Lonchura striata: one gene and its partner. The protein of the gene in region 1 interacts with the protein of each later gene in a pairwise test. Links are inferred from orthologs where the notes say so. Each region holds a gene or a part of one and is shown on either strand. Other genes may lie near its edges.

Evidence for each region.
Region 2: the proteins of GOLGA2 (region 1) and uncharacterized protein LOC110483956 interact in binary tests that used the Homo sapiens proteins (3 or more experiments, as listed by UniProt). The two-hybrid records come from large-scale screens. The link is inferred for Lonchura striata from reciprocal best matches to the Homo sapiens genes GOLGA2 and TPM1.

What each region holds. Positions count from the first base shown.
Region 1 is NC_134624.1:592,091-601,755, reverse strand, and holds the start of GOLGA2 (golgin subfamily A member 2), read left to right. Parts: upstream 1-5,552; 5' UTR 5,553-5,611; coding exon 5,612-5,659; intron 5,660-6,800; coding exon 6,801-6,923; intron 6,924-7,240; coding exon 7,241-7,321; intron 7,322-9,665. Other genes in the region: DNA repair protein SWI5 homolog, read right to left, coding at 2,450-2,514, 2,772-2,866, 3,813-4,099. UniProt on the Homo sapiens protein: Peripheral membrane component of the cis-Golgi stack that acts as a membrane skeleton that maintains the structure of the Golgi apparatus, and as a vesicle thether that facilitates vesicle fusion to the Golgi membrane.
Region 2 is NC_134613.1:7,962,480-7,972,439, reverse strand, and holds the start of uncharacterized protein LOC110483956, read left to right. Parts: upstream 1-5,320; 5' UTR 5,321-5,527; coding exon 5,528-5,641; intron 5,642-6,575; coding exon 6,576-6,701; intron 6,702-8,986; exon of another isoform or gene 8,987-9,031; coding exon of another isoform or gene 9,032-9,163; intron 9,164-9,960. UniProt on the Homo sapiens protein: Binds to actin filaments in muscle and non-muscle cells. Plays a central role, in association with the troponin complex, in the calcium dependent regulation of vertebrate striated muscle contraction.

The DNA of each region.
Region 1 (9,665 bases):
AAAAGTGGCTTATAATGGGGACTAATGCACAGGATACACAAAAAATAAAATGGAAAATGACCTCACAGGGAAGAGGTTGGTTCTTGGCTCAGTACTCATCCATGTACACTGACCCATACTTTATTTTACCCTTTTTTTCCTGAGGAGCCAAGAGTGTTCAGTGGTCTCTGGTATCCTCCTCTGCAGCAGCTCCTTGCAGACAGCAAGTCCTGCCCTCTGGGAGACTGTAAACACTGTTATACCATTTAGTCTGTTAGCTCATTATAGCTGGGTCTGACTTTACAGGAGCACACTTTCTAAATGCAAGTTAAAAGTCTGGAATGACATGTACCATTGCTGCATTCAATGGTTTTCCAGTTATATACTTAGTGAGTTTGGACATTTATTCATGGAAAGCAGATTTATTCTGTTCTTCTCCTGGACTTGGACAAAGGCCAGCATATTTCATCCTCCAGGTGACAGCCATAAAGGTACAAGAGTAACTCTGGGAGAGGCAGTCACAGGAGCCATGATGAAGTATCTCAGTGACAGTGTGCAGTCCTGTCCTGAAGCATCCCAGGAGTCCTTAACTTGGTGCCTGGAGTCTTTGAGTTCTGGGTTCCTCTAGGCTGCACAGAGCAGCCAGAACAGCCGTGGAATGCAGCTCCACCGCCTGGCAGAGCCAGCGTGCCAGCAGCAGAGATTCCCCAAGCACACTGTGCCCTGTCCTTGGGCTGTTCTCATCCTCCATGGACAAGGGATTTGGATCAGGGGACCTTCCCTGGACACCTGCCCAGTGCTACCTGAAGCGTAAACCCATCCCTGCAGCCACAAGCAGGACACTTGCACAGCCCCAGCTGCAAGTTTTAACCCAGTGCTCCTACTTAGTGGGGAAGAAAATATCGACTTCTCACTCCTTGAACAACCTTCAGTAACTTTGGTAATGGACTGTACTTCATCCCCTCAGCTCACACCTCACAAAAACTGAACAATTTCCATACATACTTCCTATTGCAAAAGCAATTTCCAATTGTGTCACTGACAGAGGAACATTTTGGTTGGAACACTCCAAACGCTGAGCTAGTCCTTGTACACAGACAGGAAATACCAGCCAAAACAGCAACTTTAGTAACAGAGTTTGCATTTCCTAGTTCTTGCCACCTTGTGCCTTTTTTCCTCCCCTTAAAACTACTCCAAAACACATGAGTGTTCCACACTTGGCAGAGGGGTATGTGTTGGGGAGGGGTGTGAACGTGTCCTCTGAGTATCCACTCTGGTCTGGGCACAGGAAATATTCTGCACAGCTGCACATCAACAGAAACTTACTTAGATGAATCATGGAATATACAGGCTCTTTCCGTCCCCCTGCTTGAGGCCACTCCCCACAGATTTTAAGGCAAAACAAGACACTATTAGTGATGTATCTGTGCCACATCCAGAGCCAGGAGTGTAAAACCAATTATCTGTTCTCAGCAGCAGCCTTGTGACTGGTTTCAGGCTTCCAATCACAATGAAGATAGATTAATTTGATTCAAATTTGGAAGGAACAAGCAGACTGCAGCATGGGCCTAACTGGAGACCACAGGGGAAACTTACTGGCTGGAAGGTCTTTGTAAGTAAAAATGGGCAGAAGGACATCAAGTCTGAGTGAAAAAGGGACAATAGATCTGCAGTCAGCAGAGCACTTCATCACTTCCAAGTGCCCAAAGCAGCCAAATTTAGTCTGTGCAGTCACCCTCAGCCCTATCAGTGACATTGAAACACTCGTGCTCCCAACATCATCATGCAATGTCCAGCACAGCACTCACTCCCACCATGACTCTGCAGTTAGAGCAAAGTGATTCTGCACCTGCACATTCCTGGAGAAAACATTTGAATAGTTCATGTCTCAATATAGTTTTAGAATTTTTTCCCAGGTTCATGCACTGTTTTATAGGCTCTTAAAGTGATTTACTGACAAATGTGAAGGCTGCTTTATTCAGAGTGAACAGTCAACACAACTTTACATTTTGCCATTTACTACAGAAATGATACAAAACCTCCAGATACCAGAGCAGGTAAGTACAAAAATGCAGAACACCCAGACTTCTCTGGATTTGTTGATAAAACAAAAGAAACCCCCAAACCACCACAATTTCTGCCTTCTTCCCTCCTTTCTTCTGAGGGTTTTACTTTCAAAGCAGCTATTACATTGCACATTTGTATGCCCTCACTTCCTCTATCCATTCAGTAAACAAACAGCCCCTGGATACTGTAGGGAATCAAAGGGTCCATGGAAGAGGCTCAACATCAACCTGAACTACAACCTTAAAAAAAAAACCTGTTGATCAAGTAGTACATGAAATTATCTAAAATCCTACATCCCTTTTCCAAAGGTTCCTTTCTGTCTCTCCTAAACCAGGATGACACCAATGTGTAATGGCACAGTGACAGTCACTTTTGCATGACATGGCAGCTTCCAGGTTCAGGACTAGTCACTGAGTTCCAGGTCATACTCAGGATAGAGCTGTTTTGTAGTGACCCCTCGGATAACAGCTAGGAAATAAAAAAACAGCATTGCTTTCATTAAACAAAGATCATGGGAGTCAGAAACGTGGTGTTTTCTTTCCCTAATTATCCCATAGCACATCCTATAGCCAAGAAACCCAAGGTTTTGCAGCTATGCCTCCTGCATACCCAAACACTTTTTTAAAAGTGAAGAATTGTAACACAAGCTTTGCTTCCATAGTAGCAGCTTCTTTCTGTATGAAAACACTGACTAAAAAGGTCTTGAACAGCTTTCCCTTTCTTACCTAGCTTGCCCAGGAGCATTTGCCCAGCATCTTTGATTTCATTGTATTCATGGAGCAGAGAGATGTGCTTGTCCAGTTCCTCCAGGCTGTAGCCCCTGTAAAATAACACCAGGAAGGTCAGAAATGACACAGGGGGACTGGGATTTCCTGCTGCTGTGGGGGACACCAAGCCTGGAACCTCAAAAGCAGACTCAACACAACAGAGTGCAGTTCCTGCAAGTCCTAAACATGAAGATCTACACAAGCTCAAGAAAGCCAATGCACCCAAGTTCTCAGAATCAAGTAGAAACAAGAGTAGGCTGTGGTGAATTCCTTTGATACGTATCTCTAATCTGTATATAGGGAAAAAATTAAGAATCGTAGAATCATTTAGGATGGAAAAGACCCTCAAGAGCATCAAGTCCAACCTTTGGCTAAGCACCACCATACTGACTAAACCAGAACACTTCGTGCCATATCCAGTCATCTCTTGAATACCTCCAGGGATTGTGACTCCATCACCTCCCTGCCAGCCCAGCCCAATGTTTAATCACCCTTTCAGCAAAGAAATTCCTCCTGATGTCCAACCTGGAGTTCCCCTGGCATAGCCTGAGGCCATTTCCTCTTGTTCTGTTGCTAGGTTTGTTTACCCTTGAGGATAAATAAAAAAGAGTTCTGGAACAGCCTTTGTTGTTCTACCATTTCCATCCTATGCACCACATTTACCTTAGAAAATATAAGTCTAACACAACAAATAACAAGTGGCTAAAATTATCTGTTCCCAGTAAACACATAATTACCTCAGGAACACCCAGGCTAAAACAAAAATCCTCTTATGCAAGCTCCCAGTAAAACTTGTTTTGCTTTACCACACAAAGTGGAAAGAATTCCCTCTTGTCTCTAACAAGTCCCATCACTTACAACACTGTAACCAACATTGCACCATACCAACAACAGCATCACAGAAGGTCAGCTCTCAGCTCCAATTCCTGGATCACATTCTATTTTAAAAACAAAAATAATTAAGGCATCAAGTAAACACTGAGCTTGCCAAGGACGTACTCTGACAATAATTGTGCAATTTCCTGGTCTAGAGCAAGGTTTTTCTGTTTCAGCTCTTTGATTTCACACTGCAGGGCTTCTTCGCTGGCTCCATTAAGCTGGAAGGACTTTGGAGATGGGATCTGTAGAACACAGAAGACACGTAGCAGGAACTCAGCTCTGGGTAAGATGTTACAATGCTGCAGCACTAATGTGAAAATAGCGTACATGTCACTTGATAAAACAGGAGAAAAGGAAAAAAATATCCCCAGGGTGGGCGGGGAGGGGGGTTCAAATAAAATGTGCATTAGTGTACATAACACTAGTGTGCTCCATACCACATCTAACCACACTTTCGAGAGCTACACTGTAAAGTGAAAATAAATAATTCAAATAAAATATATTAAAAAAATATTAAAACAAAAGAATTAAAATCACAATGTGCCTTTTAGGAGAAACTCCCAGCACGACACAGTGCAAACTGCAGTGCTGGCGCTAACCCGGGGAACCCTCAAGGGAAAGCCCTCCCCACCGGGCAGGGCCGAGCCCCGCCAACGAGGGGACTCGTTCCCCGGGGCAGCCCGCGCAGGACTCACCGGTGCCCTGAATCCGGCCGTGCCGCCCCGCCGGCCGCCGGCCCTGGCAAAGCAGAGGGCGCCGCGTCAGGGGCCGGTACCGGCACCCGCCGCGGCGGGGACGCGGCCCGGGAGGGGGGGCAGCGGGGAACGGCTCCTACCTCCTGGGAAGGGCCCGCGGCGGCGGGCGGCGGGGCGGGCTGCGGCCCGCGGCCGGCGGGACCCGCTCGGCCAGGGCTGAGGGCTCCCGCTGCAGGCTCGGAGCTCCCGCCACACCGGAGAGGGGGAGTCCCCTCGCCACAGAGAACGCCGGGAGTTGTAGTCCCCCCGCCACAGAGAACGCCGGGAGTTGTAGTCCCCTCGCCACAGAGAACGCCGGGAGTTGTAGTCCCCTCGCCACAGAGAACGCCGGGAGTTGTAGTCCCCTGCCGGGCCCGACCGTGGTGGGGCTGCAGGTGACATTGGGTGTGGCAGGACACAATTGTCCCCCGAGGGCCGCAGGCGAGGTGGTGACATTTGGTCCTTCAGAGACATCTCAGCACCGTGCCTCAGCTGGGACGGGGGCTCAGGAGATTTCGAGAATCATTGAATCAATCTGGTTCGAAAAGACCTCGAGTTCGAAAAATCACTCATGTGATGGAACACCATCATGCCAACCAGACACGGCCCTGGGTGCCATGTCCAGTGTTTGCCCGTAGCCACCGCTGCGATGTTGTTTTCGCAAGGTGAGCACTGCCCACTCCCCCGCTTGTCCCTGTGTCCCACCGGGCCCCTCAGCTCCCCCCGAGTCCCGCACAGAGGCTCGGACAGCGCTGGAGGCCCCGTCCTGCCGCAGGGAGCGTGTCCCTGTCAGCGCCGTGTCCCAGAGCCGGAGCTGCCCGAGCCTCAGCTGCTGCCGCGCTTGGAAGGTCAAAGGATTTGGGATCACACAGAACGACCCTGCCGCCTGCCCTGCGCGCGGGATCAGCCTCGGACACCAAGGGCGGGACAGCGAGGGGAGCCGGGCTGCCCCTCCCGGCATTTGCGCTGGGCTGCCGGGTCGCTACAGCAGCGGGGCAGAGCCCGGTGTCACACGGGGAGCGCGGTGTCCCGCGGTGTCCCGCGGTGTCCCGGGGCCGGGCTGTCCCGGCGGGGCCGGGCTGCCCCGCGTGTCACCCCGGGGTGTCCCGGGGCGGAGCGGGGCCGGCCGGGGGCGGAGCCGCCGCCGCTGCTGGCGGGCTGACGTGGCCGGGGCGCGGGGCGGACATGGCGGACGGCAGCAGGCAGAGCCGGTTGGCCGCGGCCAAGAAGAAGGTGAGGGGCCGGCGGTCCGGGCGGGACGGGGCACGACGTGACGGAGCGGGGGCGGCTGCGCTCCGCGGGCCCCGCGCGGGCCGGGCCGGGCCGAGCCGAGCGCGGCCTCCCCGCGGGCCGGGCCGGGCCGCCCCCTCGCTTCGGGCCCGGGAGGCTGCGGCTCTCCGGGGCTGCGGCCCGGCCTTCTCGGCGGGCGGCCGGGGCGAGGCCGGGCCTGGGTGGCTGCGGTGCTGCCAGGGTTCCCCGGGCTGCTGTGCGGGTGTCGTTGTCCCCCCCGCCTTCCTTTTTCCCCGTATTTTTTCCCTCGGGGCGGCCCGGCTGCCTGCGTCCCGGCGGGATGCGCTTCTGTGTCAAAGTCACGGAAACGGGAAAGTGTCCTGGAGCAGTTCAGGCTTCCATTTTGAAATCCTACCAATAATGGGATCCTCCTCCGTCCTTCTCCGTGCCCCGCTGCCCCGCCGTGCCTGCCCGGGGTGTGCGGGCCGGGGGTGCCGTTGTTTGCATAAACAGCTGCCGGCTCTGGGGCTCGGGCGTGCAGGAATTGCACAGAAATGCCGGCAGACCTGGAGGGATTCGAGTTACATCTTATCAGACCGGCACTTCCTGGGCGAAGTGGATGCGATTAAAAATCATTTGTAGATTGTTTCTCCCCTTAGCTTGCAGTTGTTGCAGTGTCTGCTGTGGGGATTGCAACTGTCCTTCATAAAATCTTCCGTGGAGTGGAAAATACTACTATCAGGCAGTGCTTTCTCACTTTGCATGTAGGATTAATTGCCCTTTATTACTTTTGCCTCATTGCTCTTACTTATAACCTTGAAATCCCGCAAACCAGTGCTTTCAATCTCCTTTTAGTTGTACTGTAGAGTGTGAAACAATTTCCCAGGAACAGCATTGGCTGTAAACAAAAGTTGAATGTTTACAACTCTTGTCATAAACCCATCACTTTGGTCTTAACTTTAGCCTTCTCTGGGCTTATTTTGATTCCCGTTTTTATCCCATATCGATAAATTAATGGAAGAGCATTCCCCTTGTCCTTACACTTGATCTGTATTTTTACCAGTGAAGTTAGTTTTGAGGGGTCTTTGAGGTTATAGAAGGCATATATTGTTTGGACTTCAGATTTGTCTTCTTCTGTTCACAGCTGAAGGAATATCAGCAGAAGAACAGCCCTGGAGCCACTGCAGGAACTAAGAAAAAACGCAAAACTAAAGAAGGCAGCAGACCTGCCACTCCCACCACTGATGACCAGCAGCCTCCAGAGAATGTGAGTGTCTCTTTCTGCGAAATCATTTGCCACCTCCCTCTTCTTCAGTTTTCTGGACAGTCTGACCGGAGCTGGAAGTGGTTGTGCTGGGGTAAGAGCTGAGTGGTGTAGGTGCTGTATGAGGTGCCTGCTCTGGAAGGTGCAGCTGGCATTGGAGGCTGTCCAGTGGTGCCCTGGGTGTGCCCGGAGCTGCTGGGCTGAGGCGTGTGGTTCCCACGAGCTGGATGAGGATGGTTCCTTGGCTGCCTTGGATTGATGTTTTCTCTCTGTCCTTCTCTGAGCCATTTCTCTTTCCCCTTTTCTTTCGCTTCCTGTAGATTCAGAACATTCTGAAGGTGCTGGTGTCAGACCTTAACCGCTCCAATGGGGTAGCCATACCCTCATTGGACAAGAGGAAGGTGAGGCAGTGCTTGTGTCCCTCGCAGTGACTCGCTCTCCCTCCTGCATGTCTGGGTTCTGTTCACACTGAGCTCCATCTCCCAGGATGGAGCCTTGTCCTCACATATCCATTGTCAGTTGCTTCAGTTTTGTTGCTGTTTTTATTAACATGGAGCTCTTTCTTACCATTGCTTGTTAAGTGCTTGTTTCCTTCTGGTTAGTGTCAAAGTTAACACGTCAAAAAGTGAGCCTTGTCAAAAAGTCTTTCTTGAGACAGCTGAGCTTGGAGGAAAACAGGAATTTGGGGTGAGGCAATAAACTAATTTGTAACAGCTGAGGAAGACTGCAGTAGGAAGAGGTAGTGATTCCTTATTCTGTATTTCTTCTGCTCTTAGTGTCATTGCTTTGTTTTCTGGAGCTTGGTTTCTGAAGGGCATGTTTCTGCTCATCTCCAGGCAAACAGCTGCACTGGCTGGTTATTCCAGCCACCCATTTTATGACAGGCGATGAAGCTGGCACAGGTGATGTACAGTCTGGCAAGTAGCAGGGGTGTAAATATGCTTAGGCAGGAAGTCAGATACTTCAAAGCCAGGCATGTACAGGCTTCAGCCTCTTCACATTCCCAAGATCCTGAAGAGGAAAGGGCAGGAAGTATGCCAAGGAGCAAGAGAAAGGTGCATACGTGAACAGCATTTTAAAACCACTTACTTTCAGACAGTTAGTTTGTTTAAAATAAGGCCCAAACTGTGATAAAACTCAGAGAAGTCAAATTTTGTAGCTGAGAATATTCTTCCAGTTTTGTTGTACCAAAGCTCTGCTTTTCATTTTCACTTGCATCGTTTTGGTAGCTCATTTCCCTGCCATTATTTCAATGTAGTTGTCATAAAGTAGTTAATTGTTATATTAAATGCATATCCATGGGTATCCAGCAATAAATATAACTATAGTAATCACATGGAGTACCTGACAGATAAAGTGAAACCTGCAAGGTGGAATGGAATTCCCTCTGAATTGCCTTTGTATCCTTTTTCCCTTTTTTTTCCTTTTGTGTGATAGTATGTCTGACACACAGAGTGCCACCAGCGGGACTGTGTTGTGTAGGTTCTGTAGCAGCAGAATTCGAGTGATGTGAAGACACACTGCCAGCTTTGGGGTGCTGGGTGTGCCTCAGAAAACTTGTGTTGTGGCTGAAGTGTCACTGTTGTCCTGGAGACTGTTTTCAGTTAGTACTTGTCAGCTCAGAGTAAGTTAAATTTTGGGAAAAGAGACTTGTTTCCCATTGGAGGGTGAAATGAAGATAGGTGGTCCAGTGCTGTTGCTGAGGTGACACTTAGCCTTGCAGTAAAGGCCTACCTGTGTCTACAGCTTTAGTCATGATCTGCACAGGGAGCATCTGTTGCTCTATTCATTCTTGTTTCCCCTTTCTTTTTTTCTCTTCAGAGATACAGTTTGATCTGATTGGCTGTTATGGAATTTTTGGACTGTTGTGCCTAGAGTTTTCAGAATTATTTGAAAACTAGTCTTTACCTGCAATATGTAATGAAAGAACAATTTCTCATTCCAGTTTCTGTCCTGTAAATGTCCTGAGTCAGGAAAATGCTGTTTAGAAACTTGATGCTAATAGGGTAGAAAAGCTGAAAATTGGCAGCTGAGCTGCTGCTGCCATTGGTGTCTCATGTGAGGCAGAGCCCTCCCTTCTCTCTCATTTGAGCTTTCTTGGCTCTGAAACAGAGGAAAACGAGCAAAGTCAAAAGTCTTAGTGTGAAAGCAAATGGATCCTACTACATGCTAAGCTGAGCAGAATTACTGACTTTTTATTCTATATTATTGGAATGTCACAAAGCATAATTTCCATATAAGTGTTTTGCTTCTATTGCTTTCTGTTTCAAACAAATTCAAGTGTTCAAATAGTTTTGGGGTTTTTGACAGTTTATTACAAAACTGCTCCTTGTGAGGAAAGGAGGAAGGAGTTCTTGTGGTTAGGGAACATTACTGGTTTCTGCATCTTGGAAGTATTAGGCAGAATGAATGTTCTGATCAGAAGAAATTATCATTTTGAGATGCACTGGGAAATTAATTCTTCCTGTCCCTCTGATGTTTATATTGATGAGTGTGTGATGGATAAAGGTGAAGTAACCTTTAGCTGGAAGAAGTGAGGGAGTTCCTGACCTTCCTAATAAGCACCTAACATGTATTGCTCCTTCAGAGCATCAGTACCTGTCCTGCTAAAAAGAAATTCAGAAAATTCTTGGTTTTCCCTTTGTAGTCTTCCAACTTACTACCTTCATTAAATCTGTCTCCACTGTTGCTGTTTTAACCTTGCTGCTGGATTAGTGAGTGAAGTGCTGAGCAGGTAAACAGGGA
Region 2 (9,960 bases), on another chromosome or scaffold:
TGCTACAGCTGTATGAACTGCTGTGAACTCTGATAAATGATTTCAGGACATTCGTAAAACACTTAAACTTTTCCCAGTTACAGCCAAGAGAAGGGGGATAGCGGTTTGCCCTGATATTTCTCTACAGCATCTCTCTACTAATTGTATCAAGAGGTGGACATCAGAAATATAGTCAGATTTCTTGTTTCCTATTTTTCATTCCTGCTCTGTTCTACTCTCACATGTTACTGTACCAGTAAGATCAGTAACACAAATCTGTTAGAGGTATGCAATGGTAGTTGCTCTTTGTTCTGCTAAGGAGAAATCCCCAACAAAACTGCAAAGCTAAATTTCAGGACACCTTGTAGTCTTGTAGATATGGCAGCAGATGTTACAGTGATAGTGTATTTATCTATATATAGCTCAAAGCACTGGCAAATGAACTGGTTCACAAGGATGGAACTCTGCCTTTGAAGGTATTGGCCTTCTTGTTGTCCACAACTTTTTCTCAATTGCATTCAGTAGAACTGGGTCTGATGTCATTTGGGATAGTGTAAATCAGAGGAGATCACAAACTTTAATGCAATTTCTGCACCACTGTCAGGTCAGGAGTGGACTCTCACCAGAAGAGTTGCTTCTTTTTTGATTTGTTGATTCACAGTTCTTTTCAGTTTGGTGCTTGGGTAAAGTTGATTGTAGTTTTTTTTTTTTCCCCTCATTGCATGTTAATTGTCTTTTTCTGTTACTTGGCCTTTTCACTGTTCTTTTCTATGGCACAATACTATACTCTAAATCAAAATGGACTGGGTATTCTTTTTAAAGTCTGTTTTTAAAACACTTTTAAAATAGAAGATTACTTCAGTCAGATTTAAGTAAATGACTTGAGACTTCACTGAGTGGGACATAAATCCAACAATATATGAATACAGACAAACAGTTATAAATTATCTATTAATCTTTTCTTGGTCTGAAGCTATAAAGAGAAATATGTAGAAAAACATCATACCAAGAGTGAAATTTGGGTTTTGTCTTTCTGTTACTTGTTTTTTGTAGATGTTTTTCAGAGAATGACATTAGTAACTCCTAACTACCAGCTAAAGCAAATCTGATTTTAAAAGAAAGCATAATACAAAAACTTGGGAGACATGTTTGCTCAGCTGAAATCTAGCAAATAACAGTAGTGCAATTAGAGTGAAAGGAGTCTTAGGGAAAAAATAAAAAAGACCTTCTCAGAGCTATTTTAAGATCTTAGGTCATGAGTTAGGTCATGTGCTTCTTAGCATTTGGTGTGGTATCTGAGTAGACCCTCAGATTATAGATCAGGGCAGGTGCAGAAGACTGTGCTATAAATACATTTTTACTTAAGGAGTTCACTAATTTCTTGAATGACAAGCCAAACAGAAACATTAGTTCAGAAGAGGAAAATTATTAAAATAATTTAAATCTTAATTTTCCAACAAATCATCTCATAGTTCTTAATCACAAAAGCTAAACTGTTCTCCACCATTACCTAGGAAATGGTACTGAAAACCTTTTACAGAGTTACAGCATGAATTAAGCATGACTGGCATGTTCTGGAGTATTTCTGTACTTGTTTGCTGCCTACTGAGCTGTGCAGAGCACTGGCCATTGGGATTCCTACCTTCTGTTTTAGGGCTTTCTCTCCCCTTATGGCTGAAGCATAGATGACCAATTTCCCCAGGAGAAATTTGCCCTTTTTATGCTTCTTTCAGAAATATTGTCCCTCAATTTTTTTAGTGCAAAGCTCTTGGAGATCCTTACAGGATAAAATACACTGACTGTACTAGTAAAACCTACCTGATTTCATCAGTATTATTTTATTTGTTTTTCTAGGTGAATACAGATGTTTTCAATTTCCTATTTTCTTATAATATCCTACACTCATATTGTTGGCTCCCTTTATCCAAAAGGAACATTGCTGTTTTACAAGGGCAGCAGAGGTCTCAGAGACCTTTGAGAAATTGGTTTATATTTCATTTATATTTGCCTCCATGTGAGGGAACACTACACTTTTCAAATGACATACAGGCCTGTGAGTTCACTCTGACTGACCTAACTTGAATCCTTACTAGTTTTTTAGGAGGCATGTTTTATAGAACTGGCAGAACCAGTTGTTAGGTGTCATTTCCTGTATATTCCTAAAAAAAAAAAAAAAAAAAAAAAAAAAAAGACCCACACAAAAAAACCCCAACCCACAACCCAAAGCAAAAAGAGACCCAGGAGAAGAGTAAGTAGGTAAAGCAACTCCAAAGGCATTGTTTGAAATTTTTCCAAGTGATTATGTCCACCTACCCTTTTGTCTGTTACCAGAATCAACCCCCTATGACCAACCCCATCTATGCTCGAAGAGCAGATCCTCCTCAAGGCAAATTTCTGCCCATGTCAAGGGATAGGTGACATGACAGAAACATCATTATATAAACAAGTCCCAGCCTTACTCTGTATTGTACTGTCAGTAAGCCTGAATTGTGGCATCACCTGCTCACAGAAGGAGTTGTAAATTTTAAAACCAGGTATCCTTTCTTGGTGCTTTGAGTTTGCTGTCTTGATTTTCTGAAGAGCCCAGTTAAATTAACAGAATTCAAAAATAGTTCAGTAGGTATTCCCCAGAAGAAAGTGAAACTATTGCTAGGGAGTTCCTGCACCATTTATTGATGAGATGAGCCAAGCCATTGTGCTGAAAAAAGAGGTGACAAGTAATAGAGAATTTGTACTATGTCATAAAAGCAAAGTTTGTGCTGCCTTCTTCTTTCAGTAATTAAAAATAATTTGCATACAATCTGTCTTCACATATCAATTAAAGAGGGAGAGACTATACAAGCTATTTAATTTCTAAGCCTATCTTTCTTGGCCAGCTGGAACAGAAGTTTCCAAGTAATTGAAATTGTTAATGAAAGGTATAGCAAGCATGTTAACACATGTCTGTACTTTTCATATTCTCTCCAGGAGGAAAACAAAAATTAAATCAACATCAGCCAGTTCAGCCCCTTGGATACAGGTCATCTTGCTATAAACAAACTTATTAACTGCACATTTTCATGTAAGTAGAACCTCAATGTTTTTTGGTTTTTTTTTTCCTGTGGAGGTGATACCATCCTGCAGGTATTTTTTTTAAACTTTGTGTTCCTTCTACCTGTATCTCATACTTTCTTCTGTATCCTAGAGGCTCCCATGTCGTGACTAATATTCTTTCAGAAAACTCAAACAGGAGCTGCACAGGCATTCTTTTAAGAGCCTGTGCACCCCTCCCAAATTAGCCAGACAGCTGTTTGCTTAATTTCGCAAGATATTTTATTTCCCCAAAGTGAGAAGAGCTACCTCAGTGAATTCCCAACAATGATACTCTATGTTTTTTAAGGCAGAGGAAAATGTTCTCCTAAACTAGGGTTAAAACATACTGATACATTTAACAAAGACGTCAGGTTGTTGAACAATATGTAACTAGGTATCTTTTAAATATTCACTATACTTATTTCAGAAAGGCCCTAATCTTTACTGACTGTAGTGTGAAATCAAAGTAAGTGCAAAGAGAAAAACTACACTTTAGAGTTGGTTGTGACTAAATCTGTACTTTTTTAATACTCTTGTGTTTTAAAACATTCTGTGATAGTGCAATGTTTTACTCAATAATTTTTACTGTTGTACTAGCTTGGTTATTAAATCAATGGAGTGAGAAAGGACTGCAGTGATAAATGTCTTTTCTTTAAGTAGGCATAAGGAAAGCTATTTTAACAGTGGACTTCTGCTCCCTAGGAGCAGCACACATGAATCCCCATTCCAAGTTGTGAGCCTCTGAATTTTGTATAGTTCCTAGGTTAATTCAGATTATGGCCTTTCTGAGGACCTGGGGATTGTAACTGTTGGTCTTCATCAGGGGGCTTTGCTATCTTGTAGAGCTGAAGCTTTGTTTAAGCTCTCCAGGAACTGGCCTCCAAGGTCTGCTCGGCAAATCAAGCCCTTAACTGCCCTGATAAGCACCATGGGCCAGAAGTTGTAGGACATTCCCTCCTCCTGCAAAGTCACATCAGTTCAGCTGATCCAGTGACAGCACCACGGAGGAATTTTCTGCTACAAGTATTGAGTGTAGACAAAGGCTGCCTAATTTTCTCTTTGTGCAACCCACATCCTGTGGGACTTATGCACATCCCTGTACTTTCTACGCTGTACAAGGGAGCGTGCGTCCTGAGGACGTGTCGTGTCTTGCTCACTCTGCTGATGAGACTGTGAGAGACACGCCAGAAGTGAATTAAATAGGTCTTCACTTAATTATATGCAATTTTGTTAATTGTCTATCTGTTGCTGTCCCTCACTGGCATTACGAAAGGGTGCAAGTCACGTCTGTAGCTAGATTCCCTGCCCCAGCTATTCCTGGGCTCCTTCCCTCGCAGCTCTGGATACCCCCGGCAGGGCAGGTTTCCCACTGCTCCCGCTGAGGGTCGCAGTAGCTCCCGTCCGCCTTTTCTGTTCCTCCTTGCGCCCTTGAGCGCGCAGTACCGAGGCGCATCTCCCTGCAGGGCCAGGAGCCCCGGCCAGGTACTGCAGAGGAGAGCGGTGCACTTCGGAAGCACGGGCAGCCGCTGGCACCTCTGCCCTGTCCCGGCACTGCTCGGCCCCTTCCCCTCGGTGTGGGTCCCGGCGGAAGGCCAGCCCTGCCCGGGTCTCATCCCAAAGGCCGGGCTTCGTGCCCGGCTCTGCATGGGCACATTTGCTGCGGCCCGGCTGTTGAGGAGAGGTGCCCCCTCCTCCTCTGCTCCTCCGGCTGCCGGGGGGAGGTCTCGGAACGCATTCATTCCGTACGTGCATGCGATTAACCCCCTACTGCCCGTCCTGCAAACCCCCGTGCCCCGCAGGCCCGCCTTCCCCTGCCGCCTGATGCGATCGGCTCCGCCACCCTCCTGCTGTAGAACAGATTGATTTCCACGGGTGGGGACGGCTCCCGCGTGGGGCCGGTGTCACCCAGACACCCTGCCCGCTGCGAGCAGCCTTCGCGCCCGTCTCTTCAGCTCCCCTCGCTCCGTCTTGCTGCCTTTTTTTTTTTTTTTTTTTTCCCCTCCCGGGAGTAGCAGCGAAATGTCCCGTCCTGCCTATTTAGAAATGGGAACAAATTGCTCCCCCGCCTTACCTCGCCCATCGCATCCCATATATAGTCATATCTGCGGTCAAATGGCAGGCGGCAGCGAATGGGAAGGCTGTGCCTCCCAAAAAAAACCCGGGGGCAGTGAGAGAGGGAAAGGGGTAGGGACGAAAGGAGGAGGGAGGGAGGGAAGAAAAGAAGCCCTTTCCAAAAAAGTATTGGATGTCTTGAGGAATGCAGTCAGCCCCCTGGGAAAGTACATATCTGTGAGGCGCTCCCTGCCCGCCGCTTGCATTCGGCTGTGCCCCGTCCCGCACGGATCAACCCCGCCGCCCGGCAGCTGCACTCCGCTCCCCCGGGGGCCTGCGTCCGGACTCGGGGCTGTCCCGCAACTTTTAAAGTTTTTCTTTCGGAAGCAGTTCGCACGGGGACGCGCTCTAGCCCACCGCCACCATGGATGCCATCAAGAAGAAGATGCAGATGCTGAAGCTGGACAAGGAGAACGCCTTGGACAGAGCCGAGCAAGCCGAAGCGGACAAGAAGGCAGCGGAGGAGAGAAGCAAGCAGGTCTGCACCGAGGGCCCGGGCGCAGCGAGCGCCGGGGCGCAAATCTTTCCAGACTATTCTCTTTTTTTTTTTACCTCCTCCCCTATTCTTCCCCCGTCACCATACTTTGTTATATTGCAGCCCCGCGCCCCTGCAGAACTGGTTGAACTTTCCCTAAGGCAGAGCTTCAGCCTGGCAGCCACCGGCTGGAGGTTCCCGGGGGCGCGGCGGGAACCATTCCCCACCATTCCAGCTAGGGAGCAGGGCCTCGGGACGGCTGCGTGGCCTCTGTGCCTTTGTCACAGGGGGACGGCTTAGGGAGGCTGCCCAGAACGCCTGATTAGCACTGGACAGATGTGCGGCGATTTGGCAAAGGACAGTTAAAGCTGTGTTTGCCCACTCCATCATCCCTCAGCAGATGTGTCCGATTCCAGCTGCCCTCCCACCCTTCTCCGGACGCATGCCCCACCTTTTTGTCCTTCTTCAACCCCCCTGGGACTTCTCGATTCGGGGAGGGGGGTGCATCGATTGCACGTTTCTAGGAGATCCTGAAGGAGGAGGGAGAAAGGAAGAGTGATTTATAAATTAGTTTCACAGTTTTCTAAGCCAAGGGAGAAACATACTTGTGCATTATATTTCCTCTTGTGCACCTAGTTAGAGGATGACATTGTGCAATTGGAAAAGCAATTGCGTGGGACGGAGGATACAAGGGACCAAGTGCTGGAAGAGCTACACAAGTCTGAGGACAGCCTCCTCTCCGCAGAGGAGAATGCTGCCAAGGTATTGTGCCCTTGCTGCAAGCAAAGAGGATCTAACTGTCTCTCCTTCTTTCTCTCTCTGTCTGTCCTTTTCTGTCTCTTCTGCACTCACACCTCTCCGTTTGCACGATCACGCTGCCTGCTGCACCTTTTCCTGCCCGCCCTCCCCTCTCCACCACTTTCCACCCATATCACAGCTGGAGGACGAGCTGGTGGCTCTACAAAAGAAGCTGAAGGCCACTGAGGATGAGCTGGACAAATACTCCGAGTCCCTTAAAGATGCACAGGAAAAGTTGGAACTGGCTGACAAAAAGGCCACAGATGTAAGTTACCCCCATCCCTTTCGCCACAAGCCCGAAAGAGAAACCACACACTCCCTCTGCTCAGGACAGCCTGGACTCCTACTCAGCAGCACTGCAAAGCTTTGCTGAAGGCAGAGTCCAGGCACCTCCTGGACAGGGAGGTGGGAAACACAGCACTGCCTCCCTGCATGAGGTTTGCACACTATCAGAGGCGTCTGATTTGGTTTTTGCTCACTTGATGTGTGCTTTTTATGTGTACTTGCCACTCGAGATGTGAAAGTAAAGAAATGGTGATTTATCTATTCAGATGATGGGTAAAACGGCTCAGGCTGGAACAACACTGTCTTGACAGTGAAACAGAAGCAGAGAGTTAATAGTGAGTAGGTGCAGGAGAGGGAGATCCAGAAGAGCAAGGACTGCTAGTTCTGTTTTCAAGACAGCTGTTGCTAGGTATGCATGTGTTAGAACTGCTGGTAGATACTGGCTTGGCTCACTGGCCCCTGAGATAAAAGGTTCTCTCCTGCTTCCCCCCGCCTCCCCCCTCCCTTGGAATCAGTGGAACTGCTTCACTTGTCAAAGAAAAGTTGTCTTGTGTGACAGAAAAATGTCTGGAAGATGATACTTGCTAGTTTTGCAGTTCATAGGACAGGGATCCTGGGAGCAAGTTGAGAGATATATATAGCTCAGCACTTTATATGGTAATAAGGCAAGAGCTTGTGCCTCTCCCAGGCCCTCATCCCACCCACCTGTCTGTTCCTGACATGCATTTAATGGATCGCATGCATGGAACCATAAGAGTATAGTCTGTGCAGTTAAGGTCTTGGTCTCTATTGCTGCTGTTGGACAATTTAATTCTCCTTGAGTAAATCTCAGGTCTGAATTACAGGATTAGATGAAACTGCAGTATTTCCAAAGCAATGACCCTCCTTTTCCTATAGCTCAGCTCTAAAAGCCAACCTCAAAGCCAAAATGAAAAGGAGTTGCCTCAAGTGAAGCAAGCAAAGTATTTCAGGGGTAGGAAGGATACTTTCAAAAATGGAAACGTTACAAACAACAACTTTGCATAGAAGACAATATGCTTTTATCTTATTTTATTTCTAAAAGGAATAAAGAAAGAAAAGATTTAGCTTCAGTATGGCAACTAAGATATATAGTTTTGAAAGAGAACCCAAGAACTTAACAAACAGAAGTGTTCAAAGGAACAAGGGAGAGGGATCCGTGTATAATGTGGATCAGATGTCTGCTCTGTGCAGGCTGCCATAGGAGAGGCAGCTTCCTAGCAGGACATTTATTTAGCTTGTTCAAAGGAGCCGCATATAGATCCAAGGGAGATATTCCTTATATGGAAAAGTATGCAGACTATTTGGAAATAGCTTGCCTAAGATGAAGGCAGGAGAAATGCTACTAGATTCCTGTTCTGAAACTAAGGATGTTCCTAACTGATCCCCATGCCTCCTGCCCCTGCTGGAAAACAGTGTTTCGAAGCTAGTTGAGGGTAATTTTATTTAATTGAGGTGGAGGGTGGGAGAGTGTCTGGCATGTTTTCTTCGAGGTAAATACGTTATTTATTTGTATGTATGGAGTATGTCTTGACAGTTTAGGGATTTTTTTTTGGCAATGAAGAGTATATTTGGGGCATTGCAGTTGACCCAATATTTACCTTATTAGTTTGGATAATTCCGAGCCTTTGGAAAAGGTCAGAGGCAGAGAGGGATGTCGGCTCGCTGAGATGGACTCGCCTTTGACTGGGACGAGAAAATATTACCTGTCCCATATGACTCATCCCCGGAGCCACCCCACCAGAGAGGGGGCAGCTGCAGCCCCCTCTCCCCTCCCCGTGTCTCAGGAGCCAGGCCGGGTGCGGCAGCATCTGGCGGGTTCTTCGATGTCGTTTTCTGACGCTCCTCTGGGGGCGGTTTGCGGGGGGAAGGTGGGCCTTGACCCCGGGTCGGGTCCGGTCCGGTCCGGGGCACCTCGCGCACCGTGCCGCCAGGCGGCGCTGCTGCCCGACACATCCACCGGGCACGGCCGCGCTGCGGCAGGACCGGCCCGGCCCCGACAGGACCGGCCCGGCCCCAGTCAGGAGCGGCCCATCCCCAGTCACCACCGGCCCAACCGCGGTCGGTCCGGGCAGGGCCGGCCCATTCACTGCTACGACCGGCCCATCCCGGTTCGGTGCCGACCGATCCCCGGCCAGGACCAGCCCATCCCTAGGACGGCTGGACCATCCTCCGTCCCCGCCCCGCTCGCAGCCCGGTGCCGGAGCGTACAGCCCCGCCCCGGAGCGCTGTGGCGCGGGGGGACTTCCGGGGCTGCGGAGGGAGGTGGCGCGGGCTGGGCGAGGTGCGGGCATGGCGGCGATGAGCTCGCTCGAGGCCGTGCGCAGGAAGATTCGCAGCCTGCAGGAGCAGGCGGACGCCGCCGAGGAGCGGGCGGGACGGCTGCAGCGGGAGGTGGACCAGGAGCGGGCGTTGCGGGAGGAGGTAGGGCCGCCCCTCGGCCCGACTCGGGCCCGGGGCTTGGGGGCGCGGGTCCCGGGGCGCGGCTGCCCCGCCTGCCTCCCCGGCCCGTGGGGTGGGAGGCCGCTTCCTTCGCCACCGTGTCCGACGCGATGGTTGTTACCTGCCGCGGGGCCGGCCCGCAGTGCTGCGTTCCCGGCTCGGTAACCCGAGCGCTGCGTGGGCCGGGACCAGGTGCAGCGCGCAGGGAGACAGCGCTAGGTGTGCTGGGCAACAGCAAAACCCCGAGCTGGAATGAGGTCGGACTTAGGCGAGATGTTTGAGACTACTTGTTTTGTGTTAGGCTATGAGCAAGGTTTCACGGGGTTTTTCCCCCCACAAGTTCTAGTTCTCTTATCCCATCCAGACGAGTTCACCTGTGTGGGCAGTCGGCATGGCGACTGTTGGGAAGTACGCAGGACTGAACCGGAGATGGGCCGTAGTACCGACAGCACCCCGACAGTGTGAGCGGACAGCCCCAACCTCCATCTGTAGTGTCTGCTGTTCACCAAAGCTGCTCGCCAACAGGGGAAAGGAACAGTAGGATTGGTTTTAGGCAGAGGCAGGATTAGGTGTGAGCAGCATAGGCTTACGTAGCAGAGAGATGTAATTATGGATGGAAATCACAATTAAAAAAAAATTGATAAGGCTGTTCTTTGGCTTATCACTGACCTTTGGGAGTTCCAGCAGCTGTAGCTTAATGTTTCCTGCTGTAAAATGTACAGTGTTCTTTGAGGCAGTTTTAGTGTCTTCAGTAGTTCCATTAAAACAAAGCAAAAGAA